4 linked regions of the Yarrowia lipolytica genome follow. The protein of the gene in region 2 interacts with the protein of the main gene of each other region in a pairwise test. Links are inferred from orthologs where the notes say so. Each region holds a gene or a part of one and is shown on either strand. Other genes may lie near its edges. The genes, in order: YALI1_E26788g, YALI1_E11341g, YALI1_B24638g and YALI1_B25762g.

What was found.
Region 1: the proteins of YALI1_E11341g (region 2) and YALI1_E26788g interact in a two-hybrid assay, tested with the Schizosaccharomyces pombe proteins (2 studies listed by BioGRID, with this or other methods). The link is inferred for Yarrowia lipolytica from reciprocal best matches to the Schizosaccharomyces pombe genes tfs1 and SPOM_SPAC1F7.10.
Region 3: the proteins of YALI1_E11341g (region 2) and YALI1_B24638g interact in a two-hybrid assay, tested with the Schizosaccharomyces pombe proteins (2 studies listed by BioGRID, with this or other methods). The link is inferred for Yarrowia lipolytica from reciprocal best matches to the Schizosaccharomyces pombe genes tfs1 and ecm31.
Region 4: the proteins of YALI1_E11341g (region 2) and YALI1_B25762g interact in a two-hybrid assay, tested with the Schizosaccharomyces pombe proteins (2 studies listed by BioGRID, with this or other methods). The link is inferred for Yarrowia lipolytica from reciprocal best matches to the Schizosaccharomyces pombe genes tfs1 and yop1.

The regions. Positions count from the first base shown.
Region 1 is NC_090774.1:2,675,802-2,682,925, forward strand, and holds YALI1_E26788g (uncharacterized protein), read right to left. Parts: upstream 3,015-7,124; coding exon 2,328-3,014; downstream 1-2,327. Other genes in the region: YALI1_E26742g (uncharacterized protein), read left to right, coding at 1-2,070; YALI1_E26790g (uncharacterized protein), read left to right, coding at 3,175-3,333, 3,376-3,486; YALI1_E26811g (uncharacterized protein), read left to right, coding at 5,362-5,445, 5,886-7,124.
Region 2 is NC_090774.1:1,129,729-1,137,159, forward strand, and holds YALI1_E11341g (uncharacterized protein), read left to right. Parts: upstream 1-4,345; coding exon 4,346-5,233; downstream 5,234-7,431. Other genes in the region: YALI1_E11309g (uncharacterized protein), read right to left, coding at 118-1,170; YALI1_E11323g (uncharacterized protein), read right to left, coding at 1,843-2,604; YALI1_E11351g (uncharacterized protein), read right to left, coding at 5,334-5,368, 5,820-6,093; YALI1_E11370g (uncharacterized protein), read left to right, coding at 7,286-7,431. UniProt on the Schizosaccharomyces pombe protein: Necessary for efficient RNA polymerase II transcription elongation past template-encoded arresting sites.
Region 3 is NC_090771.1:2,459,424-2,467,142, reverse strand, and holds YALI1_B24638g (uncharacterized protein), read left to right. Parts: upstream 1-3,344; coding exon 3,345-4,286; downstream 4,287-7,719. Other genes in the region: YALI1_B24654g (uncharacterized protein), read right to left, coding at 1,246-1,752; YALI1_B24606g (uncharacterized protein), read right to left, coding at 5,155-6,474.
Region 4 is NC_090771.1:2,572,727-2,580,140, reverse strand, and holds YALI1_B25762g (uncharacterized protein), read left to right. Parts: upstream 1-3,544; coding exon 3,545-3,641; intron 3,642-3,882; coding exon 3,883-4,355; downstream 4,356-7,414. Other genes in the region: YALI1_B25798g (uncharacterized protein), read right to left, coding at 1-365; YALI1_B25795g (uncharacterized protein), read left to right, coding at 654-1,841; YALI1_B25744g (uncharacterized protein), read right to left, coding at 4,937-5,746; YALI1_B25734g (uncharacterized protein), read left to right, coding at 6,336-6,481, 6,685-7,414. UniProt on the Schizosaccharomyces pombe protein: Required to generate and maintain the structure of the tubular endoplasmic reticulum network and the vacuole. Induces high curvature in membranes and causes membrane tubule formation. Involved in membrane/vesicle trafficking.

The sequences.
Region 1 (7,124 bases), about 1.5 Mb from region 2:
ACTGCGTCTGTTGTCAATGTCGCTCTTCTTAAGGCATGTAGATACGTTGTTCACACACACACACGGAAGCATTTGGTCAAGTACCCTGTCGGTCTGCAAGCACTTGCTACCAGATCAGGCAATACGCTGCTGCTGTGCATCCAGAGCTTAGGCCAGACTGGAAGCCAGCTGGTGGATCAGCAGTGCCTCTCTCTGTTCAACCAAACACTCAACACACTTTTGGTTCCTCTTGAAACAAATCAGTTGACTCTGAAGGCAAACTCACTGCTCTGGGACTCCTATATTCGACCCACTCTTGCAATTATGAGCGCCAATACTTCTCTGGCCAACGTGGCCTGTGCCTCTTTGGCGTGCCTCTTGAGATACGACCAAAAGGTCCAGAAGGACAGAGAGCCAGTTTTCAGCACCAGCATTCGTCAGCTCCTCACATCTTTGTCGCCCAGATGGGTCAAGGCCAACTACGACAAAATCATCGACGTTGTCAAAACAATTCCCTTGGATACTTCTGGGCCCAGTTTTCTGGCCGTCTGGTCGGCACTGGTGAACAACATCTCGCACTCTGCCGCCAGGGAAATCCATCCCAGCCCGGAAACGTCTGGCTTTGTCATGTCAGCCTGCAAACTACATCGTCACATGACCTCTAAGACTCCTCTGGACCATAAAGCTTTCTATAGCTCGGTTTTCGCGGTGGCAGGGCTTCCGCACTGCATCGATAAGGTCATTGAAGGTACTACGCCCGCAGCATACATGTTCGAGACACTTGTGGACGCCGAAGAGATCCCCTCCGAGGCGAAGAAGTACCTCCAGTATATCTATTCACAGCTGTCTACCGCTGCTCGACGGTTCCAGTTCACCCAGAGCATAGCCAAGGTCGCCCACAGGCACGAGTCGCTTTACAAGATTGTTCTGGACCACACCGGGGAAGATATCAACGGTCCGGAGATGTCTAATCTGTCTCCCAAGGGGATCTACACCATTCTGGCTTCCCCCAACAGACCTGCGTACCCGGACACATGGTTTTCCATTCTCAAATCGGCTACAGAGATGATTCGGAAGGATGCCTTCCTTGGGTCTACTCAGGAAGTGCTCATTGAACCTCTTCTGCAGATCATTGATGAGTCGCTACAGCCCCAGGTATGTCTTCTCGGTATTGAGCTGATCGACAAGAAGCCTCGAGGAACTTCTTCACCCATGTTCCGATCTCTCACAACCGACATTCCCAAGGACTTCATGCATCTGGGTGCAGTTTCTTCCAAGCTGGCGACACCGGAGATTGTCAACGCCGTCAGAACGTGTCTGAACACTCTACCAGACCATTCCATGCCCTGTTTCTTCTACAGATTTGCGCCTGTCGTGATCCAGGCCATTTCAACTACTCCGGAACAGCACAGGAAGTTTCTGTGCGATAGCATTGTGCGGAAGCTACGGAACGGGCCCATGTTAACAACAAAAGTGTATTTGGACCTGCTTGTCACCCAGATCTTCCCATCTTGGTTCGAGGAGTACCAGGATGAACTAAAGAAGAAACAGGCTCCCTTGGTTGCGTTTTGGAACGAGTTGCTTGGCAACGACACCCAGATCGTTCTGGACGAATCCGTCATGAATATGCTGCTCTTCAAGTTCGTGTCTACTCGCCAGGAGGTGTTCTATCACGGCCAGAAACTTGAGAAGCCCACACGAGCAGGCCGAAAGTCATCATCTAGGAGCGACGCCAGTCCCTCTGTATCTCCCAACATGTCTCCCACTAAACGAAGAACAGATTCGCTGGAGTTTGAAGATGGTCCTCGGCGCAACAAGTCCAGACGACTGTCAGCTTCACCAGTCAAGTCCTCGCCACTTAGAAGATCTTCTCCTCGTCTGCAGGAGCTTGTCAAAGTCGAGTCTCAGATACGAGACGTGGAGGTTGGCCGGTGTGTTGGAGGGTTGGATGATCTGGCACTTCAAACCGATCAGGCTGTTGACCACCTAAGTGAACTCGAAGGTGTGACTGCCAGAGAAATTGAGCAGATTGAATCGACTCTCATTGGAGCTCTTTTCAAGTTGAACCAGCTCAAAAAGAATATTGCATAGACTAAATTAATTATTCATATTAGAGGCTCGATAGTGTTGAGATCTCCACTCTTTCTTCTCAATGAGGTTAGGCTGGTCTAAGTTGTAATACAGGTACCTACTCGTACAAGTGCGTGAAACACATGTGTCACTATTTTTCTGATTACTGATATATTGCTTGCTGCCTGCTGTTTCACTTGATATTAAGGCATAAATAGTACTTGTTTTTTGTTTTTGTTTTTTGCTACCAGGGTAGTTTTCGTAGCTCCGAACTGCGGCTAATCATAGTAGGTTCTCACGAGACCAACGAGAATCTCGCAGCCTGCAACCACTCCATCCACAACCTTGACATGGGGAGCCACCGAGCTGATCACGTCCTCCATGCCTGCCATACCAGCGCACCCCAGACAGATGACCGTGGCCCCCTTGTCTAGAGCCGCCAGGGTGGCCTGTGCGATTCTCTCGTTGACCAGCGAGGTGTCAGCCTGATGCAGTTCCAGCACTCCCAGCCCGGTGCCAAATGTGCCCACAAAGGTGTTTGCAGGCACGTAACGGCCCACAGCCTGATCCAGTACAGGTTCCCACTGACTGCCGGTTGTGACAATGGCAAACTTGCCTGTATCTGGCAGTCCCACGCTCATATTGAGACTGAGAGAGTGCAGAATGGCGGCCTGGAAGATGCCCATAACTGGCCGATTCGTGTGTTCACGAAGAATGTTGACGAGCGCATGGTCGGAAAAACACGCCACCAGGAATCCATCGTGCTGGTCGAGCACTGGAAGTAAAGCTGGAAGACATGCTGCTGCCGACAAGGTGCCTGTGGTGTAGTCGTTGATGGAGTCTGGGCCGGTGGAAGGACAGGTGAAAAACTTGAAGGTGAAGTCGTGGGGCGGGTCAAGAATGTCCTTGAGTCCGTGGGTCACGGACTGCGACGAATTGGGGTTGATGATGAGGATCGAGGGCATTTCAACAAGTCGTACCGAAGGAAAGGGGGCGCCTATTGGAGAAGTGCCGGTTTGGATGTGTGCCTGTTGAATGTGTTTAATATGTGTGTATTGATGCACGGCTGTACGGGGTAAATGCGGAGATGATCAAGGGCCTGATACTGCACCACGGATTATATATATGGTTGGAGCTGGGGTGTCCATCTATCTTTTAGGTCCCACTATACCCCGATACGGGTATTATCAAGAGGTATTATGGCTGGCCGATTATGCTGTGGTTGTTGTCTTTAGACGGGTGTGGGGGGGGGGGGGCTTTGGGCATGTGTCTTTTCCAAGTGCTGTGGTTGGTGTTTTTGGAAAATAAAAGCAGTCGTAGACTCAGAAAACTCGGCAGAACGGAACTGGAAAGTCTGGAGCGTCTGCACCGCTTCCTACACTGAAGTGGTCGGATCCTCCTAATGATCCTCTTCAAATTAGGTACGTTCCACTCTAATCATAAATAAGGGACAGAGATCATCTTCGGAGGCCTTATTGCAGTCTGAATAGGGGGGTCTGCAAGAGTGCTGTGTCGGTGAAAGTGCGGGACGTGGAAAGGTTGGGCGCAAGTAAATAAGTATCGTACGAACAGGAAAATGAGTGGTACGTACAAGTGCCGGTACCAACAAGGCTTTATATATCCGGGACCGTTTATGGAATGCACATATCTCTTCTCTAGGCGTCTTCCCACATGCTCCTCATCGCTCGTACTACTCGTACTCGCAATAGTCGCTGTTGACAATGGGACAATATGACGTCAGGTCAACAATTTTCTTACAAGTACCGCATTTATTGTACCATATTGGGCACACGTGTAGCAAAAATATCGGTGTCGGTTGCTCGGTTCTGCATGGGTGGTGGTAATATCGGTGACCGAATCCGCTCTGCCGATCGCTGCTTAGTCAGATCTGATAACGAGACCCGACATCGAATCACTGCGTGCCCTCCATTCTCCCCATGCGCCACGCTCTGGCGGCTGAAGTTTGACGTTGTCGTACCAAGGAGACGTATGTGGGCGCCCCAATGGCCCATCTGTCGAGCAGTAGCTCGTGGCGAAAGAGGCTCAACAAAAGGCCGGGGGAGTTAGGCTCCGTGGCACGGTGGCGCAATGGGGCTTATTATGGCGTGTGGCTTGACTTTGTGGCTTGTCATATCTGAGCGACATGACGCAATAGCCCGCCGCTACTCCCGTCAGTCCCTACAAAGCGTCGCACTGGCAGTAGCGCCAACTTTCATGCTGGCCCAAATAGAGTGGCAAGTATGACTAGGTTCATGCGGCTGGAGCCTCGGTTGTGGGGATGCGTGTTAATCTGCCAAAAGGGGCATATTGGAATGCCGGGGAGTGGCTGCGGTGATCAGGAGGAGAGCACCGAGTGTTGGTTCGAGGCCGTCAATGGCTGGTATTATCGCCCGCAGTCAGAGCTACACTAATGGCTGAGCTCGTACATGGCCAGTCAGTCTGTCTGTTCTCGGTGGGTAACACTACAGACCAGCTAATGTATGAGCTTATCGGAGTATTACTAAGGCAGTGGGGGGTCGAGGTGTGCCAGAGTACAGCAGCAGGAGCGAGCAGAACGGCCACAAGATACAGTATTGTACGTAGAGTGTGCGAGTCTATTGTATCGTACAACCGAGAAAGACTGAGCAATTGCAACATGGTCGGTCGCCTTTTTTGTGGGGTACTTGTAGACTTTATTTCATGTTTGTTGTTTCGGCTCGCCTTGTCGCGCCGGTTGTTTTCGTCAAATGCCGGTATTGCCCGCCACAACCACTGACTCATTGACAGACAAGCCCCTCTTCGCCATCAGATAGTCGCACTCTGTTGTGTGACGTGAGTCAGCCCCGTGCATAAGCCCTACGTCTGGACCGCTACATTATTTCATAGCACAGCAACAGAGCCGAGTTTAATGGTTTGAAACCTAGGTGGAAGAGGGGCGGGCGAGGTATCGTACTGTGGGTGCGATAGTTCACCAGTCACGCTGGTGGGCCATTCTCTTAGCACATTTCCCCCCTCCCAAGTCCCCTCAACCCCCAATGTAACCCTCAACCTCCCACAGCTCAGTAGCACACGTGCAACTAGTTAGTAACAACCCCCCTCCGTCCAGCTTCTCTTTCACACTGCTTAGAGTTCGGGTGCCAACGTTGCCAAACTACCCTGACGTGCTAACAAAGGAAAGCGTTTTTTACCACCCTCTGCATATATATCCAAGGTTGCTGCACCCCCAAGGACCGATATAACACCAATCTTTTTTTTTTTGCCCAGGCATCCTCACACACTCCACACACACACACACATACACACTCACAAGACACTCACCATACATACATCACCATGACTGGCACCTTACCCAAGTTCGGCGACGGAACCACCATTGTGGTTCTTGGAGCCTCCGGCGACCTCGCTAAGAAGAAGACCGTGAGTATTGAACCAGACTGAGGTCAATTGAAGAGTAGGAGAGTCTGAGAACATTCGACGGACCTGATTGTGCTCTGGACCACTCAATTGACTCGTTGAGAGCCCCAATGGGTCTTGGCTAGCCGAGTCGTTGACTTGTTGACTTGTTGAGCCCAGAACCCCCAACTTTTGCCACCATACACCGCCATCACCATGACACCCAGATGTGCGTGCGTATGTGAGAGTCAATTGTTCCGTGGCAAGGCACAGCTTATTCCACCGTGTTCCTTGCACAGGTGGTCTTTACGCTCTCCCACTCTATCCGAGCAATAAAAGCGGAAAAACAGCAGCAAGTCCCAACAGACTTCTGCTCCGAATAAGGCGTCTAGCAAGTGTGCCCAAAACTCAATTCAAAAATGTCAGAAACCTGATATCAACCCGTCTTCAAAAGCTAACCCCAGTTCCCCGCCCTCTTCGGCCTTTACCGAAACGGCCTGCTGCCCAAAAATGTTGAAATCATCGGCTACGCACGGTCGAAAATGACTCAGGAGGAGTACCACGAGCGAATCAGCCACTACTTCAAGACCCCCGACGACCAGTCCAAGGAGCAGGCCAAGAAGTTCCTTGAGAACACCTGCTACGTCCAGGGCCCTTACGACGGTGCCGAGGGCTACCAGCGACTGAATGAAAAGATTGAGGAGTTTGAGAAGAAGAAGCCCGAGCCCCACTACCGTCTTTTCTACCTGGCTCTGCCCCCCAGCGTCTTCCTTGAGGCTGCCAACGGTCTGAAGAAGTATGTCTACCCCGGCGAGGGCAAGGCCCGAATCATCATCGAGAAGCCCTTTGGCCACGACCTGGCCTCGTCACGAGAGCTCCAGGACGGCCTTGCTCCTCTCTGGAAGGAGTCTGAGATCTTCCGAATCGACCACTACCTCGGAAAGGAGATGGTCAAGAACCTCAACATTCTGCGATTTGGCAACCAGTTCCTGTCCGCCGTGTGGGACAAGAACACCATTTCCAACGTCCAGATCTCCTTCAAGGAGCCCTTTGGCACTGAGGGCCGAGGTGGATACTTCAACGACATTGGAATCATCCGAGACGTTATTCAGAACCATCTGTTGCAGGTTCTGTCCATTCTAGCCATGGAGCGACCCGTCACTTTCGGCGCCGAGGACATTCGAGATGAGAAGGTCAAGGTGCTCCGATGTGTCGACATTCTCAACATTGACGACGTCATTCTCGGCCAGTACGGCCCCTCTGAAGACGGAAAGAAGCCCGGATACACCGATGACGATGGCGTTCCCGATGACTCCCGAGCTGTGACCTTTGCTGCTCTCCATCTCCAGATCCACAACGACAGATGGGAGGGTGTTCCTTTCATCCTCCGAGCCGGTAAGGCTCTGGACGAGGGCAAGGTCGAGATCCGAGTGCAGTTCCGAGACGTGACCAAGGGCGTTGTGGACCATCTGCCTCGAAATGAGCTCGTCATCCGAATCCAGCCCTCCGAGTCCATCTACATGAAGATGAACTCCAAGCTGCCTGGCCTTACTGCCAAGAACATTGTCACCGACCTGGATCTGACCTACAACCGACGATACTCGGACGTGCGAATCCCTGAGGCTTACGAGTCTCTCATTCTGGACTGCCTCAAGGGTGACCACACCAACTTTGTGCGAAACGACGAGCTGGACATTTCCTGG
Region 2 (7,431 bases):
CGGTATTATACGCCACATCATCTGGTGAAAAATCCGGTGTCAAAGAGAGACTGTAAAGGTAGAGTCAACCAAACAGAAATATGACTTCCGGGCTTTCCGAGATCTTCATGCTTGCGGTTAACTGAAGATACCCCTTCGGTAGTTCTCTCTCAACTGCTGCAGGGTAGCTCTCTGATCATGAGGAAGGGAGGCCAACTGGGCATCAGTAAGAGCCAGCACCTGGTTGATCATCTGCTGCTGTTGAGGATCCAGATGCGTGGGTGCCGCCACGTGATGTTGAGCCTGAGGCTGGGGAGTCACGTGCTGCGGCTGAGGAGTGGAGTGTGCCGGTGCCTGGGGCTGCTGACCTCCGACAACCTGTTGAACAACCTTCGCGTCAATCAGTCCCATCAGGAGCATGGCCTGGACTGCTGCGTAGGTGATGGGTTCGGAAACCTGGAGAATCTGGGCCGCTTCGGCTGGGTTCTTTGTAATCAAAGTCTTAAGATGAGCAATAAGATCAAGCAGCTGGTTGGGTTGAAGAGCCGAAAGAACGGTGGAAGTCGCGTCGGGCGTGGTCAGCGTAGGAGCAGGCGTGGGAATCGGAGTGCTGGGGTTGGGGGTAGTGGGGTTAGGTGTCGACTGCTGACGATCGTATCCGTGACCCTGACCACCGTATCCCTGACCGCCATGGCCACCATATCCTTGTGCGCTACCGTATCCCTGACCCTGGCCGTATCCCTGGCCACCACCATAGCCCTGGTTACCCCCATATCCACTCTGGGGTCCATCAGGATGGGGAGATCGGTAGTCTCTACCTCCATCTCGACCGTATCCCTGTCCGCCGTCTCTTCCACCGTATCCCTGATCTCGCCCATATCCCTCACGTGCTCTCTCTGCTCGATGTTGCTGCATGTCTTGTGTGAAGGCTGTTCGGATCTGACGTTGACCGATTCGCACGTCTCTGAGAGACTCCAGAGCTCGTTCGGCCTCGGGTATCGACGAGTACTCAACAAATCCATATCCTTTTGATCGTCGGTTGTCTGCTGGGCCTCGTTCGGTGACCAGACGGAAGCCCACCACTGTGCCATGTCGTCCCAGCATGTCTCGAACCTCTGGCTCGGTCATTTCAAACGGAAAGTTACCGACAAAAAGTGTCCGCGATGGCGGTTGCGGCGTGTTTCTGTCCATTTTGCACTTTTCGGATTAGTGATTGCTGCCGTGGGGCGTATGTTGGATCGTCTGCTCCAAAGTTGTGCAGGAGAATGTGGTGATGTAAGAAAAGAGGTAGGTTGGCCTGCAGAAGTTAGTGAACAATAGGGTTATTATGGGGAGACAGAGGAGATGGACAGGGGGAGAAAAACGGGTGATTGGTACGAATATTTACATGTTGATGTCATTCTGATGAAAATTCTTCGATAGAGAAGACAGAACCAAAAAGATCCATGTCAATTCGAATCTGGAAATGTTGGAGCCGTTCAAGTCCAAAACAGACAACCTCGAGAGTACGAGTCATGTTTAGATCGGATCGGGCAGAGAATTGCGATGAAATGTCTGGATAGTATTGATGAATTAATGTACGGTGACTGTTCTCTCTCAATCAATACTGCTAAGAGTGATCCATACAGTACGTTCTATTTAGGGGATCTCTAGTACGGTAGGGAGAGTATCGTTGAGATCACACAAGTCGTATACTGACACACACCATGGACACCTACGCTGCAGTACTTCGAATTCTGCGACCAGTAAAATGGCACTATTCCACCTCACATCCACACTTATCAAACTACAGTAATTGCTCGTTGTTATGCAATATACAGTACATTTCATTAATCTATCTGGTCGTGTTTCACTCGGCTCTTGCTAAATAACCTCACCTCGCTGGATTCGGTCTCTGAGCTCTCGGATACTTCTCTGGTGCTCGGGGGCCAGGGCGTTGATATCGGCTTCACTGAGAGCCATCACCTGCTGAATAAGAGCAGCATTGCCAGCCACAGGATCGGGTGTGGACTGGGCAGGAGCAGATGGGGGGTTGCCGCCAGCAATGAGGGCAGGGTTGCCTCTGACAACACTCAACACCCGCTGTTCGTCCACCAGACCCAGGTTCAAAAGACATTGGACAGCAGCGTAAGCCAACTGGGGCGCCTGAGCAAACAAGTCCGCCAGGAGCTGAGGCGAGTTTTTGCTCATGCTCATCAGGTCTGTCACCACGGCAACCATCTGGCTCTTTGTGTACCCGTTCATAGTCTCGGACACCTGCTGAGCAGGTTCCAGACCCTGCCGAAGAGGAACTCCCGCTGGCAGGCCAGGACGTCCGTTTTTAGACACATTGGGGTTGGGAAATCGGTTCTGAGACGCAAAGAACTCTCGGACTTGTCCCTCATGAGAATGATCCACTCGCAATTGTCTCGAGCCCACCTGAAATCCATTCAGGTTTCTAATAGCCGATCGGGCAGTGTCTGCATCGGGGTATTCTGCGAATCCGTAGCCCTTTGAACGGCCGGTTTCTTTATCGAACATGAGCTTTAGGGAAATGACCGGTCCCACAGATTTGAAAATGTCCAGCATTTGCTCCTCTGTCTGATCGTAGGGAATAGATCCAACGTAAACTACTCGATCGGTCATTGTGAAGTAGTGAGTGTGCTGATGGTGACTTTGCGGGTGGGTGCTTGGGTGCAGTCACGAGATGTGTCACGAGGTTTTCTGGATGTCTGACTAAGATGTCGGCTGGGTAACTCGATTGGAAATGCAGGTGATCGAGAATCGGAGAACGTGGGGGGAGTCGGGCACTTGACAAGACGACGACTGTGTGGCTGGTGGGTCGGTCACGTACTGTTCAAGTCGGAACAACTGATGATTTTATGTCTGTGACAAGTTTGCGACGTTGAATAAGTAGGTGGGCGTATAAGCACGTTGGCAAACGGCGTGTTGAGTCACGTGGTGGAAATGCAAGGAGTAGTAGGGTCGAAATACAGTCACGTGGTGGGTTTCCGTGTGACAATCGAAGACTGGTGTTGATGTTCAAGGTGGAAGTTTCAGCGGTAGATGAGTAGACTGAAATGTATGCAGATTGGAACTTTGTTGTGATGAAAGTTTGGAGCAAGTGGAACTTGGAGAAGAAGAGAAGAAGAGGAGAGAAGCTGATGATTCGAAGTCAAGTGGCTTCTGTGTGGTTGAAGATAGTTCTGGAGTGTTTATATCAAATTTTCAGAGTAATTTTATCAAAAATGAGGATTCTAATGTGACGTTGTTGTTGCTAACAAGGAACCTTGTTTCGAGTGCTGGCAGCATGGGTGGGGGAGTTATATAAGGGCGAATAATGTGTGTGTTGGTATGGAAATAAGTGTTTTGGTTGATTTATTTGGCAATTTGGGACTGTTTAATTGTGTTGTTGAAGTATCAGAACTCTGCACTCGAAGTTGAGTATTTTATATTTTCCCTTATCCATGATATGATGTTTACTTGAGACAGTGCGAGGACGACTGCAGTATGTACTGTACAGTACTGAACTGTACTTGTACTAAGTACTCGTAAGTAATTTAGTTGGGATGGCAAAGTACATGGCTTCCGAAGGACATGGCAACGCTTGAGGATACACTGAGTACTTAAAGGTGGAGTAGTGCGGTCAAATTTCGAATCAGAACTCGCTCAGATGATGTTTTTTGTTGTTGGTTTTTTAGAAACGTTTTTCTTTGGTTTTTTGGAGACGTTTTTTTGTTGGTTTTTTGGAAACGTTTGTCTGTCGACTTGAAGCTCAGTTGACATGCGTTGCCGGTTTAGACTGTGCAACGCAACAGCAGCACCCGGAGATATATCGACAAGATAACTTTCGAAGCTTGTCGTCAGACTCATTTGCTCACGTGACACACACTCCTTTGCTCATTAGGCCGTCGTCAATACGCCCAGGACTCTCCTGACAGTGATCAACAACTTATCTGCGCCAAAGATCTACAAGTCTCACCTGAGTTCGCTCATAACCTGTACTGTAGGTTAAGTCCGTTTAAATTGATTACGCCGATGTACCCAAGTACCGGTAGTCCTACAAGATAGGGCGTCCAGTAGCAAGTGTGAAGTCTGCGCATGCTGAGAGCTACCCAGGGTAATTATGGGGTCGTCGTACCCACCGCACGCCCTTACAATCCACAAACAGGCTCTTAACCTGAAAATGCCGGATATATACGTCTCTGGCCCAATCTCCAACCACCTCCAACCACCTCCACCATAGTAATATCACCGTGCATATTGCTGTGCCAAAATTTCGTCTCGGGCAAAAATAAAGTTTCACATTGGAAGCAGTCTCACGCGAACAATTCAGCACTCGGTCGAGACATCATCTCTGTAAAGTCATCATCACATCACTACCATCATGGGACTCAGTGTTGCGGAAATCAAAAAGCTGATGGCTGACCTGGAAAAGGCCAGCGGCGAGGCGGTATACGACATTCTGCAGGTGTTGCACAAGGAGGTGGAGCCTACGGAGAAGCTGCTGCGAGAGACCAAGCTGGGTATTGCCGTCAACAAGCTGCGAACCTCCAGCGACAGCCGGATCTCGGACCTGGTCAAGAAGATGATCAAGTCGTGGAAGGACACGGTGACGGCCCAGAAGAGAGACGCGTCCAAGAAGGTAGAGGGCAAGAAGGAGACCAAGGAGGAGAGCCGACCGGTCAAGTCCAGCTCTGCGTCTTCTGGTAACGCCACTTCGTATACGCCTCCTTCGGGCCAACGAACCCCGGCCAAGGACGGTGTGTCTACAGAAATCTACTCGGACAAGGTGCGAAACCGGTGCATCGATGTAACCTACACTGCGCTGGCTGTCGGCATGACTGCGCACCCCAATGAGGTGCTCGCCTGCGCCAAGGCCATTGAGAATGAGGTGTACAAGATGGAGAACGGCACCGGCGGCAACTACCGCCCCAAGATGCGATCTCTGTACATCAACCTCAAGGACCCAAAGAACCCCGGTCTGCGAGGCAACGTCATTTCGGGCAAAATTTCGGCCGAACGACTGTGCCGAATGTCGCCCCAGGAAATGGCGTCCGACGAGCTCAAGAAGGAGATTGAGGAGATGGAGAAGCAGAACCTGTTTGCTGCTCGAGGAGCCACGGAACAGAGAGCCGTGACGGACCGATTCACATGCGGCAAGTGCAAGCAGAAGAAGGTCAGTTACTACCAGATGCAGACGAGATCTGCAGATGAGCCGTTGACCACGTTTTGCACGTGCGAGAACTGTGGTACGAGGTGGAAATTCTCCTAAGCTGCCGTTGGTGGCGATGACGTGGGTCGCCTGTGCCATGGGGGAGTGGACGGAGGAGTGTGTCCATATTGGAGTGCTTTTGGAGTGCTAGACAGAAGAGCTATGTCTGTGACTGGCTATCTTCGCAATCGAGTTCTGTGAATTCGCAAAAGGGGAGTGTATATAGTTAGATAGGTTATGTATTGTTAGGTGTTAGGATACACTGATTGGAGGTTGAGTGTTTTACCAGTGGCAGTGTGTGTAATAGTTTCAGATGGTCTACCTGTATATTTGTGCTCTGGCACGCGATATTCACTACAACTACCGTATGTACTCTGTAACACAAACAAATACCGCATTTGATGGACAGTATCCTGTTGTACTTGTGCTGGTTGATGAGTGGAAAACACCCAACTATTAGTTGATTATGAAATACAATTTAGTTAAAAAGTAGTTGAGATTAGGAGGCGTATCAAGAACTACTGGAGCTTGGGGTTGGTCAAAAATGTATTGTTTTGAGAGAGTTATAAAACGTCTACATAGTACTGATAATACTCTAGAGGATCCCTGGGGTTCGATTGTAGATGATCGGAAACCCATTAGCAACCACCACAGTTGGGGTCACCGCACTTGGGGCAGTGCTTCTTCTGGGTAGGAGTAGGAGCACAGGGCTTGGCATCGATGGCGATGGTACCGGTGATGGTGGTGTAGTGGGTGGTGATAATAGTGGTGGACTTGGGGCACTCCTTCTGGGGGCACTTCTTGGAGTGGATCTTATCCTTGAACTGGTGGATGTCCTCGGGGGATTCAGCCTGGTCGTTCATGGGGGCGGCGACGGCAAGAGCGGCCATGGAGAGGAGGGCGAGGTTCTTGATCTGCATTGTAGTGGGTGTGAAGAATACTTGTTTGATGGAGAGTAAAGAGGGTCTGGGGGTGGTTTATATAGGGCCTGGGAAAATTTGGACATTCCTTAGAGTCATAGCGACTGTCTTGTATCGATTAAAGCGATACGACCTGCTCACCTTGACGGCATAAAGTAGCTGCTTGAGATGAGATGAGTGCGGAGTTTGGATGTTGGAGAGTGTCAGATAGTGTATAGATTGGTTTGAAACAGTTTCAGGGTCACCCAAGCCCTTGTATTTGGGAGTGTGTATGTCTTCATCTGGTTATCTCGTTTCTCATCTTGAGTTCAATGGGGGCGGTCGAGTATCGCCCGTCCCACACGACACGAAGGAGGAAGAGTGTCGCAGAGTTGAGCAAATAGCTCTATACATTCAGATTCATCTGAGGTGAAAAATTATAGGTAATTCAGTAAGGTGCAAGATCTCTTAGCAATAGAGAAGTTGGTCTACTATGTACATGCTGCTGCTAATGTCCAACAAATACACCTATCTAGTGTTTGTCAGAAGGAATTGAAACTATTCGAATCAATTTATACAACTAATAGGACATCATATAGCTCTTCAGAAACTCCCTGACATTTTCCAAGTCTTTCTGAGACCTCTACTGGCTATACTATGGGTCGAATCAATATCAGTGTCGGCATAAAGTAGCATGTACTTGCCATTTCCGAATACTTATAGACATTGAACTACGGATCAGATTCCCGATGCTGCTAAGTATTCATTCAGATTGCTATTATAGACTGTGCGGCATATAGTAGACGTGGTATGGTGGGTATTGCAGCCTTGGTGAGACTGGACACACTGTAGGCAAGTATTAGTCATATAGAGTGAAACAGGATCAAGAGAAGTTGCAATATAGTGACAGGGGTAAGATATCCGTTGACATGATTGTTTACTAGAATCTTTTGTTCAACTGGTTTATTTCAACTATCTGTATGTCTCTCCGATATCTTTAACAAATATACACTTCTCTTTCAACTAACTGAACAACAATCATTGCTCAACTCTCTACGACACTCTTAAACACGCGGAGAATAACTGCAATTCACTCACAACCGTCTCCTTCTACCTCTCCATACTCAATAAAACAATATTAATTACCCTCTCACCGATAGTCACATCCAGGACACATTTTATCAACTCTGCCATTTCCCCCAATCGCAACATCATGCAGGGAGCTGCACCTAATTTACACCTTCAACCTTGGGTGAGCAACTCAATCACAACGTTCCCACAATCACCACCACCACCCCACAGCGGTCGATCATCAGCCCGAAAAAAAGACATGCTCCGAATATCACGTGACACCAAAAT
Region 3 (7,719 bases), on a different chromosome or scaffold from region 2:
AGATTTACAGTATCGGACACAAACCCATGGACACAAATGCATGACCATCAGGACATTCTGCACTCCCGAACTCTAAATGATTTTGAGTTTGACAGTAGAAACCTGGACAAGCTCACTGCAGTAATAGTGTGGGATTTGTGGGTTGTTCTGGTAACACAGAACCTGGTGGGGTGAAGTCGTCACAGCAACACAAGTCTTACCCTACAGTGAGACATCTGGTAGTCTTCTCATATTCTATAGAGTTTAATGTATTATGTTATTATAAAAATTAAAAAAAACGGTACCTGAACAACCGAGGTATCTGAAGACAACATCTCCGCTTCACCTGTAGACCACTACACATGTTCAGAAAGGGTGCAGAAAGAACTCACACTTCCAGTAGCGAATCTCGTGCAAGATACGGTGGTACCCAAGATGGGTTTGGTCTTCGAATCTAGCAAGAAGATGTCTAGCAGACTCGGTGGAGGTCTCATTCGGGTACTCATTGACATAAGTCCACACAATCATGGTTTCGGCAGGTGTCATTGTGAGTATTTGTACCGTACGTATCGTACCAGTAGCTCGTCTAGTTTCTGTTTGTTTTTATTGAGAAACAAGAGTCTGGAAGGTCGATTATATGTAACACTTCAGTTGGCCCCATATGACCGCCATTGGTTGGCCTCAAAACATCAACTTGGTCTCTATTGTAGAGGTGGAGATGCACTATTAAAATATGTGAGGCTGATTTGACCTTGAGGCTGTTGTAAATGGAATACTGAAGGGAGGGGAACAGACGGTTAAGGATATCAAATAATGATGGAGAAGAGAGTGCTAATCTTGTGAGGATGCTTCTGTGTTGTGGACATGCTGACTTCTCAAGAAGTGGCCCGCCAATGAAAATCTCATTCACCATCGTCTTGTGTTTCTTCCCTTTCAAAAGCCCTGTTGGTTTTTTTCGACCTTACTCTGGACTCTTCCTCGTGGCTGCAGATTCATAGAATACTTCATTCGTTGTTAAATTACCTACAATTGTAGTACATTGATAAATAGGTCGAGCGTCAAAGTACAGTTGCTGGCAAAGATCTAGTTCTCACAATCCACTGTCTTCCATGAGCCATAATGTTCTTAAAGGGCAGGCTCAAACCGAACAGTTGTAAGAGTACTCATCCGTAAACTGCAAGAACATACACCCAGCGTGAACGTAAACTGTCATAGTTTTAGCCCTCCAGTTGCTACCCAGTCACATTATTCCGCACCTCTTGTGCCTTACACAAGCTGATCATAGAGGTACGACTGCTTGTAGACATCCTCTGTCTCTCCCTGTTTGGTCTCGAGAATCTTCTTCACCACAGCTGGGGGATTGAGTCCCAGCTTGTTGGCTCTCTCCCACCGTTCCAGCCGGGTCAGACCGACAACAGGCCCGAAGTCGACGGTAAAGTCAAAGTTCTTGAGAATCTTTTCGCAGTTGTTGACCTCTTCGGGATGCACGGGTGGTGCAATGCTCTTTTCGGCGATCTTGTGGGCCTCGTCCGAGTACACCTTTTCACTGGGATCCAATTCCGGCAGAGAATTGATCTTTTCAGCCTCCTCCCTGACCAGCTCGTCACAGATGGTGGTTTCAATCGACTCTATCTGTACTGGCGGTTTGACGTCCTTGGTCTTGATATCATTGTGTTGCTGCTGCTGCTGCTTGACGACCTTGAAATCCCGCTTGATGCTGGGCTTGGTGCTCTTGAAGCTCAGCGACGCCTGTTTTGCAGATTTCGGAGCCATGGTGGTGTGTGTATGTAGGTTGAAGATGGGCGGAGTGGAGTCTTATCAACGTCAATTATGTCACACTTGCGAAACCTTACATGAGGAAGTGGAGTTTCGAACTGGGCCATAGAATGCTCAAATGAGGAGTCAAGCTGGATATTTTTTTGACAATATAAAAAGGATTCCATTCTATAAAATGTATAATGTCAAATATAGAGTAGAATACTTTTTATTCGGGTTTATAAAGACATCAAAATCAGATTACATAATCACAACCCAAACTTGATTCCACTGTCAATTTTGAAGAATATTCCCTCGACGAGAATTACAGAAGTAAATTATATCAGTCGAAAGCCCTGAGTTAGCTGATTCCAAAGAAATACTTCATTTCCCTCTAAATCACCGCAATATCCTTCTAGACGCTGCGTATTTCATCTGATCTATGTATTTGGGACCTTCCTATTTGGGAAGAGCCGTTCAACAATGTGTGGTTGTTTTGTGTCTCGATAGTTACATAAGTGGGGAGTGTGAAACGGCTACTCGTACTAATAGAAAGAATAGAGAGATGAATAGAGTATGATCAAATTGAATTATATTTCAATCGCCTGAAAATTCCATACTATTGTCCATAATGGCCCCAATATTATTGATATACAGAATCTAACAACACTAGTAGATTCTGCTCATCAATAGCTATCTATTGACATACAATAATACCATATTATATATCTATAAATCTCTATTATACCCACCATAGTATTTCTCTACGGGGGATATCAGGTTCAACTTCATTCAACTCCCGAGTGCGTAACCTTAGTCCAAAGCGCTCTCCATCATAGATTATGACCAACTTTTTTCACGTACATATTTTTTTAGGGACCTATATTATTAAGGAGATCTTGATTTTGCGCACATTTCTGTGCCATCCGTTTTCCCTACACATTTCTCCCTCCCGAGTTATTCGCCGGGGGGATTTTTTTCGTCCGGGTTTAGCTCATCACCGCGAAGATTCCGTGAGTCAGGGCCGAGTGAAAATAGGAGGCAAAAAAAAAGACAAAACAACCGGAACGTGTGTAAACAACGTGAAAGCATGGTGGAAGCGGATGAGCGGCGGGGATAGGGCCGCGTGAGCGATTTGTCATGCGATCTAGGGCCGACTTTTGGGGGGGCTGTGTCTTTGTGCTACTTGTATTGCTCGGGTTGGTCGCTTGTATCGTGTGCTTCACACATTTGGTATGACCGCCGCAGTGGGTGTATAGGTTACGTAGTGTATCTCCCGGTTGCTGTGAAAGTGTTGAGGGTCATATGATACAGGGGAGCAGATGGCGGCACAGGAGTGTGCCTACGTGCCAGTATTTGATGACGTCATAGCTGGTCACGAGCCCTTAGCATACCCCTCCATGACCGACTGTCGCTATCATCGATATGTCATCTACCCCACATCCCTCGGGAGGTTTTTTTAACTCACGGATAAAGTTTCGAAACTGTTGGTCTGAAAAAATGTGGAGTCTAATTTGGAGATTAGCCGTTGGTACATAAGCCCTTGCACAGTAGTCCAAAAGTCGTTCAACCACGTTCCGAAAAGCGCCCGAAAGCACGCCAGCACACAAATGTCTCTTTTGCGCACTCTGAGGCCCGTTCTGGGCTCGGCCCGGCCTGTCACACCAGTTTTGGCCCGGTCCTACTCGGCCCATCACTCTCCTCAGACATCAGATCAAACTCGAAAAAAGGTCACTATTCCCGAGTTGGCCAAGATGCGACGAAACAAGGAGAAGATCAGCATGGTAACGGCCCATGATTACGTGACCGGTCTGATCGCTGACAAAGCCGGTGTTGATATGATTCTGGTCGGAGACTCCTTGGCCATGGTGGCTCTGGGGTACCCCAACACCAACCAAATCGAGCTCGAGGAAATGGTGTATCATGCTAAGGCTGTTTCTCGAGGTGTTAAGAGCGCGTTTATGGTTGCAGACCTGCCTTTTGGTTCGTATGAAGAGTCCCCAGAGAAAGCTATCCGATCTGCTATTCAGATGATCCAAAAGGGAGGAATGGAGGCTGTCAAGATGGAAGGAGGCAAGGAACTGGCGCCCACTATCAAGCGACTGACCGAGGTGGGAATCCCTGTTCTGGGACATATCGGACTCACCCCCCAGCGTCAGTCGTCGTTGGGAGGATTCAGAGTGCAGGGTAAGACTGCCTCTGGAGCAGAGAGTATTCTGGAAGACGCGTATGAACTGCAGAAGGCTGGATGTTTTGCTATTGTGCTTGAAGCAGTTCCCGACAAGGTTGGAGAATGGCTCAGTTCGAAGCTAGAGGTCCCTACCATCGGTATTGGTGCTGGACCCGGAACCTCCGGGCAGGTGCTGGTCATGCTCGATATGCTGGGAGGATTTGGAAGCTTCACGCCCAAGTTTCTCAAAAAGTACTCGCAGTTTCTTGATATTAATGTTGGAGCTGTCAAGCAGTACCATGAGGAGGTCAAGGGTGGAGTGTTCCCTGCCCAGGAGCATTGTTATAAGATGGGTGATGAGGAAGCGGCTAAACTGAAATAACGAGCGAGCCGATTATATGATAGGTGAGTGAGTGGTTGTCCACGGTCAGCTGCTCACTGCCCCCCAGGATGATGTATATATATTAATGACGATACGATAGTTTAGGAGTTGGTTGGCGTAAAGTAGACTAGAGTTGCCTGTTCTTCTGTTAGTAATTAAAAGGTCGTACAAGGTCGTACTACTGTACCTGGAGAAGATATACCTGGAGAAAATATGGTCTCTTGTGAAGGATCAGTTTAGTTGTTGTTTTTCGCAAAGAGCTCGACATTGACCTGGTGCAACCAAGGGGAGGGTTAAGGCTACGGAAGACATCCGGAGGACTCGGTAATGAGTCGATTAAGCTAAACAACGGGTCTTCTGAGGTTCTGAAAGACTCCTTAAAGAAGTCCATGGGTCCAATACTGTAAAAGAAGGACACTCAGGATCAACCTCAAAACAAACACCAGAACAGACACCAGAATAGAAAACAAAAACAGAATCGGCTTTTATTATTGTGACAGGGAGAGGTAGTGGAGAAACTGTTACCTAGATGATTGTGGGGTGCGTGTGGAATACGTATGGTGTCTATAGGACGACATCAAAAACGTATGATCTTCATATCATAATACTTGTATACTTGTATCAAAACACTCGATTGAACTACAGACCTGTTAGTACAATACTCTTGAGACATTTCGGACACTCTTTTGGGTAATTCTCATCAACATTAAACATCATTCAGTTATCATCTATAAGTTATCTTCTATCTATCCTCTAAGGCGGTTGACTTACTAGTATGAGTACAGTGTACTGTAGTCAAGTTCCTCTTGAATCAAATCACGGGCAATACACGCGACTTCTCTCACAACCCTTCAAGTAAGCTCGCTCTTCATCTAAAAAGTAGCGCTTTGCCCTCTCTAATCTCCTCAGGAGGATGGCTTCCACCCTTGCCGTCACCGGTATCGAATACCAGTGTCTGTCCAAACTTGGGAGCCAGAACCGAGTTGCCGACCCCAGCGTCCTCAGCAATCTTGTGCAGCGAGTCTCGGGGTTCTGTGAACTTCTCGTCACTGAGAATGAACGTTCCCCAGTGCACACCGACCATATTCTTGGCCTCCAGATCCTTCATTACGTTAACGGCCTCCTGGGGGTCAATGTGTTGACTCTTGAGATGCCATCTGGGCTTGTAAGCGCCACAGGGCAGCATGGCAAGCTTGCACCCGGGTCCGTATTCCTCCTTGATTCCTCGGAACAGCTCTGGTGAGTATCCAGTATCTCCTGCGTGGAAAAAGTGGGGTTTTCCGTCCTTCATGACCATAAAAGAGCCCCAGAGAGTCGAGTTGGCGTCGTACATCTTTCGGCCACTCCAGTGCATGGCTGGAGTGCATGCCACGGTCCATTTCTCGCCCAGTTCCTGCGATTTCGGGGTTTCGAGACCCATGGTTTCCCACCAGTTGAGCTCGGCAACGTTGTAGACGCCGTATTTAGCCAGAAATTTCTTCACACCCAGAGGCACGACCCACAGAGCTGAGTTTCCAATCTTCTTCACGGTGTCCACCTCCAGATGGTCGGGATGGTCATGTGACACCAAAACAATGTCGACCTTGGGCAGGTCTTCAAACTGACAGGGGGCCTTCGAAAGTCGCTGGGGGCCCATCCACGATGTGACCAGATGGTCACCAAAGAAAGGATCGGTGAGAATGTTGAGTCCTCCAAGCTGCACAAACGCACAGGACTGTCCGATCCAGGTGAGGGTGATTCGATCCTGCGGTTTGGGAATGAAAGACTTGGGCTTCCAGGGGATCAGAGCAGAGACCTGCTTGACGGGCTCGGATAGCAGCTGGAAGTCGGGGGTCACACTGGGGAGCAGCTTCTTGAGCTCTTTGGGGTCCTTGGGGAGACCTCCTCGGGGAGTCAAGTGGAATAGGTTGACAATGTTGCAGTACACAAACTCGAAAAGAGTCTGGTGTCGGTATTGGCTGAAGGGATTGACAAACTTGCCTCCGACAACCATGGGTCGAAACTGCACAGAAGGAGGGATACCGTCTCGAAGAGAAACGTTGGAGCTGAGTCCAAAGTCGGTGGATTTCAGTTTCTTGTCCAGCCGATCGTTGATTTCGTAATGGGTGCGTAAATGCACATACGTTGAGTACGCTGTGTACGCGACAACAAGGCCGAGACCCGTTTTCGCCTTGATTCCGAGTTTCATGTGTGTGGTGAAAGAAATCCTGGTGGTAAATTTTGGGAGTGCATCTACGCTGCACGTGTGGGAGTAACGGTACTGAGTGGTCCAGACGTCATGAGAGGGTAGTGAGTAATAGCGCGTCGGATGGGGTTGGAAAAAAAGGGGGTAGTGAGGGAAATTTCAGATAGAGATAATGTAATTTTACCAATAATTTTCGGTATTTGGTATCTGGCTTACCCTGCGCTTTCTTCACATTCTCGTCTCGCTGATCTCCATAGTGACTGTAGCTACGAGTAGTGGAGTAATAATGGACAAACCCAAACAAGGTGGTTCTCTCCGCTCAATGCTACCATCTCCATCAATAATATAGTCAGAATCAATCAGATTACTCCGTCGGAATCCTGGCGCGAAAATGGACACACCTGTCTCCTAAGAAGTAGGACAGACCTCTTGGTGGTCTTTCTGTACAGCCCATCGTAACCTACACCTTACGCTTGTCACCTGAGGAGTTAGTGGAACTCTGGCGAATAGTATAGGTATTTGAATTCTGAAAGTTTTAATAGATTCCTCAGGATAAGAGGAACATTTCTATATCGAATTCATCCGGTTTAAATTGCCACAACGTCGTCTATACTCTTCCTATCCTTAGGTCCGAAACTCAATCAGACTCAGTTTAACACACCAAGACTTCATCGTTACATTGTCCAATGTAACTTCGATGAGAAACGTGGGGTTCTTGAGACCGCGTGATTATGTGATTGACATGTGTCTCGTGCTCTTTCACGTCTCTTCTTTTCCATTCCTGGTTTGCGGTCGCTTCAAATTGCCGAAAATGATGTCCGTATTATCTCCGATTACATCCGAGAACCCAACGAATAACAAGCCGCAGATATTAACGTGCAGAACCATCGTACCGCAAAAACATGAGAATGGTCTGTACGTGTTATGGATTTTACGATAATTACTGGAAAATCGAAAGTCACTCTGAGATTCCATTGAATATCGTCCTTTTTTCCAGATTGACCGTCCCATAAACACGTACATCGTTTGTGCACCGTTTCCACCGTTACGCGAATTGTATCTGAAACATTCGCGTATTCGTTGAACAGAGTTTAATTGGGGTCATTCCAGGATAGCAAGCCAGGGTGAGGGAGATTTGCGGGTCGCAAGAGGTTCGACGTTTCCTATTGGGTGTTTCAACTGTTCACGGGGAGTATTATCGGCGATTTGGTTGTGTTATTTTACTTAATCCACTTTTTTTTGTGTGTT
Region 4 (7,414 bases), on a different chromosome or scaffold from region 2:
GATGATAGGTTTGCAGACAAAGACAGTAGCTCCCTTGCTAAGGTCTGATTCATGTCCAGATTCCACACTTTTGAGATCAGAATGTCGATGATAGCCAGAATACATTCTCGAATGCCGTCGCGGAGGTCTAAAATGTCTGTTATTCCTTGTAGAAGATGCATGATGGGGAAAAATGTGTAATCGGCGAGGTTCTTGGACCAAATCAGGTCTTGTTGCTGTAGGAACGCCCTTAGGTCCTTGAGGCGAGTGTAGATGGCATCTTGCTTCTGTAGTCGTTGTTTTGGCGGTAACAGAACTTCCTTGGATAGCGCCACTGTGAGTGGTTGTAGTTGGCTGAATTGCTGTTTCCGTAGCGCCTCGTCCATGGTCAATAAATAATTTAATTGGTTATCGATTGTAATGCTTGCATGTCAGATTGAATTCAAACCCCGGTTAGGGTTGCAGCATGGGTGTCCCAAAGAGCTTTGTTGTTAGGCATAGTGAAGAAAGTCAAAGTGGGAGTGTGGCCCTGACTCTATACTCCACAGTTGCAAGACATACATACACTCTCCCCCACGATCCTTGGCACTCTCTTTTTCTCACTCTCTTTTTTTTGTCCTCCTATTAACCAAAAAAAAAAAAAAAAAAACCTCTTTCTTTCGCCAGCTAATGCCATGGGATACGACCAGCTTCCCGTGAGTGTTCCCGATCGACAACCTCCCCCGTACTCCTCTCCATTTTCCCTAACACAGCACTTTCCCACTCCCCAGGAGACCTTCAGCTCGGTCCCACAACCCCCACCTTCGTATAGACACGGACCTCCGCCACCGCAACAACAGAGACAGCAGATGTACACCGGCTACAACAATCCCCGTGGCGGTAACGACGACCTTCCCCATTTCCCCACCCCTGGGGAGACTTTCTCGGACGCTCCCCCTCCACCTCCCCAGCAGCAGCAGTATGGACGGCCTCCTCCTGGCGGCCCCAACCGTCATCAGGCTCCCAGAAAGCCCTCGGGCGGCAGCCATAGCAACCAGGGCCACAACAACAGCTACAATAACAACTCCAACTACAACAACAACTACAACCAGGGAGGGTCAGGAGGTTCGAGCGGTGGCCCTGGCGGCTACAACAACAACTTTGCCCCTCCACCACCACCTCAAGGACAGCCGCTACGACCCAGCCCACGGTCTCACAACCAGCAGCTGCAACAGCCTCCGCCCATGCATCAGGCCGGAGGACCCAGCGGAAATAACAGACCTCCTCCCAGTCGCCACAACAACAGCAACAGCAACAGCGGTGGCACAAAGCCAGGAACACAGTCGCCTATTCCATACGCTCCTTTACCTGATGTGAATCTCAAGATGCTGTTCAACGGCGTGGACAAGAACAACAATGGCCGGCTTTCGGAAAAGGAGCTGGGCAACGCTCTTGTCAACGGGGACTTTACAAAGTTCAATATGGAGACGGTGAGAGTCATGATCAAGATGTTCGACCGGTCCGGCAATGGAACCATCGAATTCAAGGAGTTTTGCAACCTGTGGCGTTACTTGGGCGACTGGCGCAAGCTGTTTGACAAGTTTGATCTGGACAAGAGCGGATCCATCTCGTACGACGAGTACGTGCGAGCCCTGGAGGCATTTGGATACCGTCTGTCTAACAGTTTCATCCAGTTCATGTACAGCAAGTACTCAGACTTCAACAGCTCTGGTGAGCGAGTCATTGGCTTTGACTTGTTTGTCCAGAGCTGTATTTCGCTAAAAAGGATGACAGACTCGTTTGTCCAGTATGACACGGATCACACGGGCTACGTCAACCTGTCTTTTGAGCAGTTTCTGATGGAAATAATGAAACTCAAGTAACTAAAGCAATGTATATTAGGTGGTTTTTACGGTCTTCTGTTGTGCCTGTATTTCTGAATGCTCCCCCCTGTCATATTCCATTTTTACTGGCAAGTGGGGTGGGGAAATTGAGTTAGGTTGCGAGGTACGATGTAAGCGAATCTGCATGACAACTTTGATTGTGTGAGAGAGACATGGCGACGATTTGAATGTATATATCCGTCCTCTTTCAGCCGTCTGTCCGACCTTGCTTTACCTCTAGTTATATATATATTTTTTCTCCATTAGCTTGCGTCTCTTTTTTTTTCCCGCCAAAGATCGACGCTAGTTGTCTCCCCAATTTAGAGCCGTTTGTTTGGACATCCAAGCAGCGAATGTCCCAATTCCACTGTGGATGTGCTGCAACCATATCAGATGATTGTAAATTCTATGGGTATCAGAGTTCGCGGGCACTTTGTGCACGAGTGAGGGGTCGTAGAAGGGGCGCGTTTGGGTGTGAAAAATAGATATTCGGGCAGTGTTGTTTCGGTAGCACTTTTCGCCGTCTCTCTAAGTCCACCCAATCGCCTACAATAGCTCTCTTTTTAGGTCTCGTGATAACCTACTTAAGCTAATAAGAATTAGGAACCGTTGATCAAAGGTTGGTCAGTGGGTCCCAGAGTGTCCTCCACAGTCTGTGCTGTGGTTTTTTTACGAGGACCATGAGGTCACGTGCGGGCCACTAGAAGGAAATCAAATGATTTCATCTAACTCATGGTCCTGTGACTCTACGTCTGGTTCCTCATCGGTCTCATATTTGCAGTTGCTATGAGCGTTTCCCGGGCGCAAGTCAGGTTCGCAAAAGTTTCTATTTTAAGATCCACGGAGCCCAACGTTCGACTTGCAGTTGTGTATGTTGAATAACGTATATGGTGGAGTGTGGTACGAGTTGTACTACAAGTAGTAACTGGTGTTTGGGGGGTTACAGTCAAGAGGTCGCGTTCTCATGTGAAAGTCACGTGACTGTTTTGGATCTCGACACTACAATATCCGAGTGTTTCTATCCACAAGTATGAATTCTCACGTGTTTTATGTTCTACAGTCTTCTGTTGTCACAATAGCCGCACGCATGTTCCAGAAATAGATTGTGTATGTACCGTACGAGTTGCGCGAGATAGTGTACGATGAGGACAGGTGTCGACTTTATACGACTCGTCACCCGTCGCACAGGTACGGTAGGCTACGCCTTGTTTTACTACTTCATCCCAATGTACAGATGTGTACAGTTATCGTAAAAAACCACATACCCGTACATGCTGTAACGACAAATATTACCACGTCAACATGTACGCACCAGTATGTATTACAGGTATGTACAATCGTTTCATAATATGAGAAGTTTGAACCTCTGATAGCATCGTAATAACGCATAGATAAGTGCGCTCTATACCACATACCGGGGCAAGGTTATCACGTGACTCTTCCAGGTGAGTGTATGTATCACGTGTTTCACGTGACTTTCTACTGTCGTGCACCTCGCTCACACGACCTCGGCTGCATCTCTGACAGACTAATCGCATCTCATTGTCCAGCCAAACAGAGTTTTGGACCTTCCCCCTCTCTTTGTTCTAGACACCCCTTAGAGTCTTCTCACCGCCCACTTACCCTACCGAACCATGTGCGTCGACCTTCTTCTGTCCAGTCTGCAACTTTCATTTTCCACGTAACCACCGACGATATTCAACATGTCTCAAATCATTGATCAGGTTCAGGCCGCTCTTCAGAACATTGACAAGGAGCTCGAGAAGTACCCTGCTCTCAAGGAGCTGGAGAAGCAGATTCGTGAGTATTGCAATCAATGCGATCTTTGTGATCGGATTGGAACGTGTTAGCAGTGTTACATGTTACACAGACAGCTGCGATGAGCAGCTGATAACCGACAGGAGTGCACAGAAACAATTCAGATAATTTCCCATTACTCCCCAAAACTGCTGTTATGCAAAGACAGGTGCAACTGTCAATAGTGCCTGTGATTAGTTTCATGTGATCACCACAGTGCCTCCCCAACCACAACTAACAATAGCCGTCCCCAAGTCCTACATCCTGCTTGGCTTCGTTGGATTCTACTTCATCCTCATCTTCCTCAACATTGGAGGAATTGGTCAGCTTCTGTCCAACATTGCTGGTCTGGTCATCCCCGGCTACTACTCTCTGCTGGCTCTGGAGACCCCCGGCAAGGCCGATGACACTCAGTACCTGACCTACTGGGTTGTCTTCGCCACCCTCAACGTCTTTGAGTTCTGGTCCAAGGCCATCCTTTACTGGGTGCCCTTCTACTACCTCTTCAAGACCGCCTTCCTTCTGTACATTGGTCTCCCCCAGTACGGAGGTGCCGAGCTTGTCTACAAGGCCATTGTCAAGCCCCTCGCTCAGAAGCTTGTCAACATCCAGCCTCACGGCGGACCTTCCGACTCTCTCAAGGCCCAGGCCCAGTCTGCTGTCGATGCTGCTGAGAGCCACGTCCCCCAGGGTCACTCCACTGGTGTTTCTCACTAAGCCGAAATAGCCAAAGGATTATAGACTGGTATGTCGTAGAGCTGAAGCATTTTAGGGCTGAGAAGCCATTGTAGCTGAGAATATGTACAGTACATGGTCACAAGTGCAACTAAAGTACATACTGTAATGTCGATAGGTAGATAGAGCCCAATTGCGATTGTAGCCGCGGAATAAGCACTTGCTACAAGTGCTCTTAGTATGTACATAATTAACGGGTGTACTGGTTCATTAAACGATTTTAAACAGTATGCTGTTGCCAGGACTACCTGTAGCATCAGTGGGTTATTCAAGATCCTCTGAGCGAGTTGTTTTGTATCAATAGCTACTATATGAGTGTTACATAGTACGTACCAGTGCTTCAAGTACAGCCCCTAGTGATTCCTACTGTACTTTGATTCGTTCACTTCTTTTTTCTTATTGGGTGTAACAGGCACGCTTGGTACTCTCGCTGGACAGTTTAATACGCACAGGGTCCCGCAAGTGGGCAATGACATCAGTGGATCCCTACTTCTATGATCGATTAATTTCTTTATTACAGTCGCTGGCCTTTGCATTGCTCGGGCTCGCTCTCTTATGTACATTTAAGCCTTAATAGCCTTGGGTTCTCGGAAAATGTCTCCCTTGTCGTGCATGGACTGGATGACAACTCGCTCATCAGACATGTCAGGGTCGGGCAGAGGGATATCAATGGGGGACTCGAACACGGTTCCGGCCAGCAGGCACTTGGCGGGCGAGTACGTGTTGTCGTAGACACAGCCAATGTACTCGGTGGACTTCTTAGTGGTGGTCTTGACCTCATCAGATCGTCGCTGGGACCGAAGAATTTTCTGGGTCATGTCAAATCGATAGATGATGAGAGTGATACCAGGGGCGTGGTTGGGCAGGGGCAGGTAGGTGAAGTTGACCACCTTGGGGACCTTGGAAAACTCAATGGGGCCGTACTGGAACTTGACGTCGTCGGGGAGAGTCTTGGATCGCTCGACAAGAGCCTTCTTGACCCAGGTGTTCATCTTGTCATCAACAGACTCAAGCTCTCGAGCAGCAAAGGCCTTGTTGACGGCAATGTAGTTGAGAATAGCGTCGTTCTTCCACTCTGTGAAACGGGGCTTCTTCTTGGTCTTGAGACGGTACTGTGCCACGTTGAATGTGTTAACAACAAAGGCGTACATTCGTCGGTAGAAGTGCTTCACCAGACCCTTTGGGTTGGTCCAGGGGGCATGGGACAGGGGGATAATGGGCTCATTCATGATACCAATGTGCTTGAGCTCAAGACGCTGGCTCTTGGAGGCGTTGTTTGATGCAAATCGCACGGGGGCGTATGTGGCTCGCAGGTGGCCGGCCATGTTGAACGGCCGGACCACCAGCCGTCTGGAGGCCATATTATGGATCATTTGTGTGGATGGTAATTAAAGCGAGCCTCGAGGATTATGTATGATCTGAAAATATGTCGGTTGGGACTTGTAGGTTCGATTCCTGTGTGTGGTGGATTGATGGTCGTGAAAAAGCAACACGTGTCGTTGAGAGTGGAGTGTTTGTATTGGTGTTGATAACCAATGACTTAGAATGGAAATGACATCTTCCCTTGTAGATTACATGTCGTACCCATGGTACAACTACTTTTACTATCATTTATACTCGCCGATCCCTCATTACAGCTACAAGTACCGATACAAGCAACCAGGATATTCACACTATGAGAGGTACAACGGTGGCATATAGGGAGGTGGAGAGGTGATAATATATAGTGAAAACACTACAAATACTGCTACAGTCGACCCAGAGGCTCCCATATCACTCCATATCGATATACCAGAAGAAAAGTCACGTGATGCCACCACTTACATTCCTACCAACATCCATTCACACCCCCAGTCTCATTAAACCTCGGCCCTATGACTTGGTCACGTCACGTTCAGTTTGAGTTTAGCGGGGTGATGATAAATCTCTGGCACTCTACACACGACAGACTTGTCTTTTACCATGCTTCAGTCGCTCAACCGAAACAAGAAACGGCTGGCCGTGTCGACCGGCCTCATCGCCGTGGCCTACGTGGTCATAAGCTATACCACAAAGCGGCTCATCGAGAAGCAGGAACAGAAGCTCGAAGAGGAGCGTGCTAAGGAGAGGTGAGTACACAAACACAGAGGAGCTAGGGGCACGACAGACAGAAGAATGGACACAAGCGAAACAGAGATGTGGCTAATGACATGACCAGAAGTGGTTGCCAAACGAAACGTGTTCGCAGCTTGTGTATCGGCCCCACTTACGCCATATCATTACTTCATGCATATATTGGTGTGTTATGTGGGGTATACCAGTACTAACACAGACTCAAACAACTGTTTGCACAGACACAGAATGAGGCAGCGTTCCATACGGCGTCAGTGCTTCCCCAGCTATGCGAACAAATCATGGAGTTTGTGGCTGTCGAGAAGATCGCCGAACAGCTCCAGAACATGCGTGCGGAGAAGCGCAAGAAACAGAACATGGACGACGACAAGCACTCGGTGCTGTCGCTAGGCACAGAGACGACGGCCAGCATGGCAGACGGCCAGAAAATGAGCAAGATTCAGCTGTGGGACGAGCTCAAGATTGAGTCGCTCACCCGAATCGTCACTCTCATTTACTGCGTGTCTCTGCTCAACTACCTCATCCGACTGCAGACGAACATTGTGGGACGAAAGCGATACCAGAACGAGGCTGGACCTGCGGGAGCCACATACGACATGTCACTGGAACAATGTTACACGTGGCTGCTCACCCGAGGATGGAAGTCGGTGGTGGATAATGTGCGACGGTCAGTTCAACAGGTTTTTACTGGCGTCAACCCGCGGCAGAACCTGTCTCTTGACGAGTTTGCTACTCTTCTCAAGCGTGTACAGACTCTCGTCAACTCCCCACCCTACTCCACCACCCCTAATACGTTCCTTACATCGCTCCTGCCACCTAGAGAACTGGAGCAGCTGAGGCTCGAAAAAGAAAAGCAAAGTCTGTCACCCAACTACACTTACGGCTCGCCTCTCAAGGATCTCGTATTTGAGTCAGCTCAACACATTCAG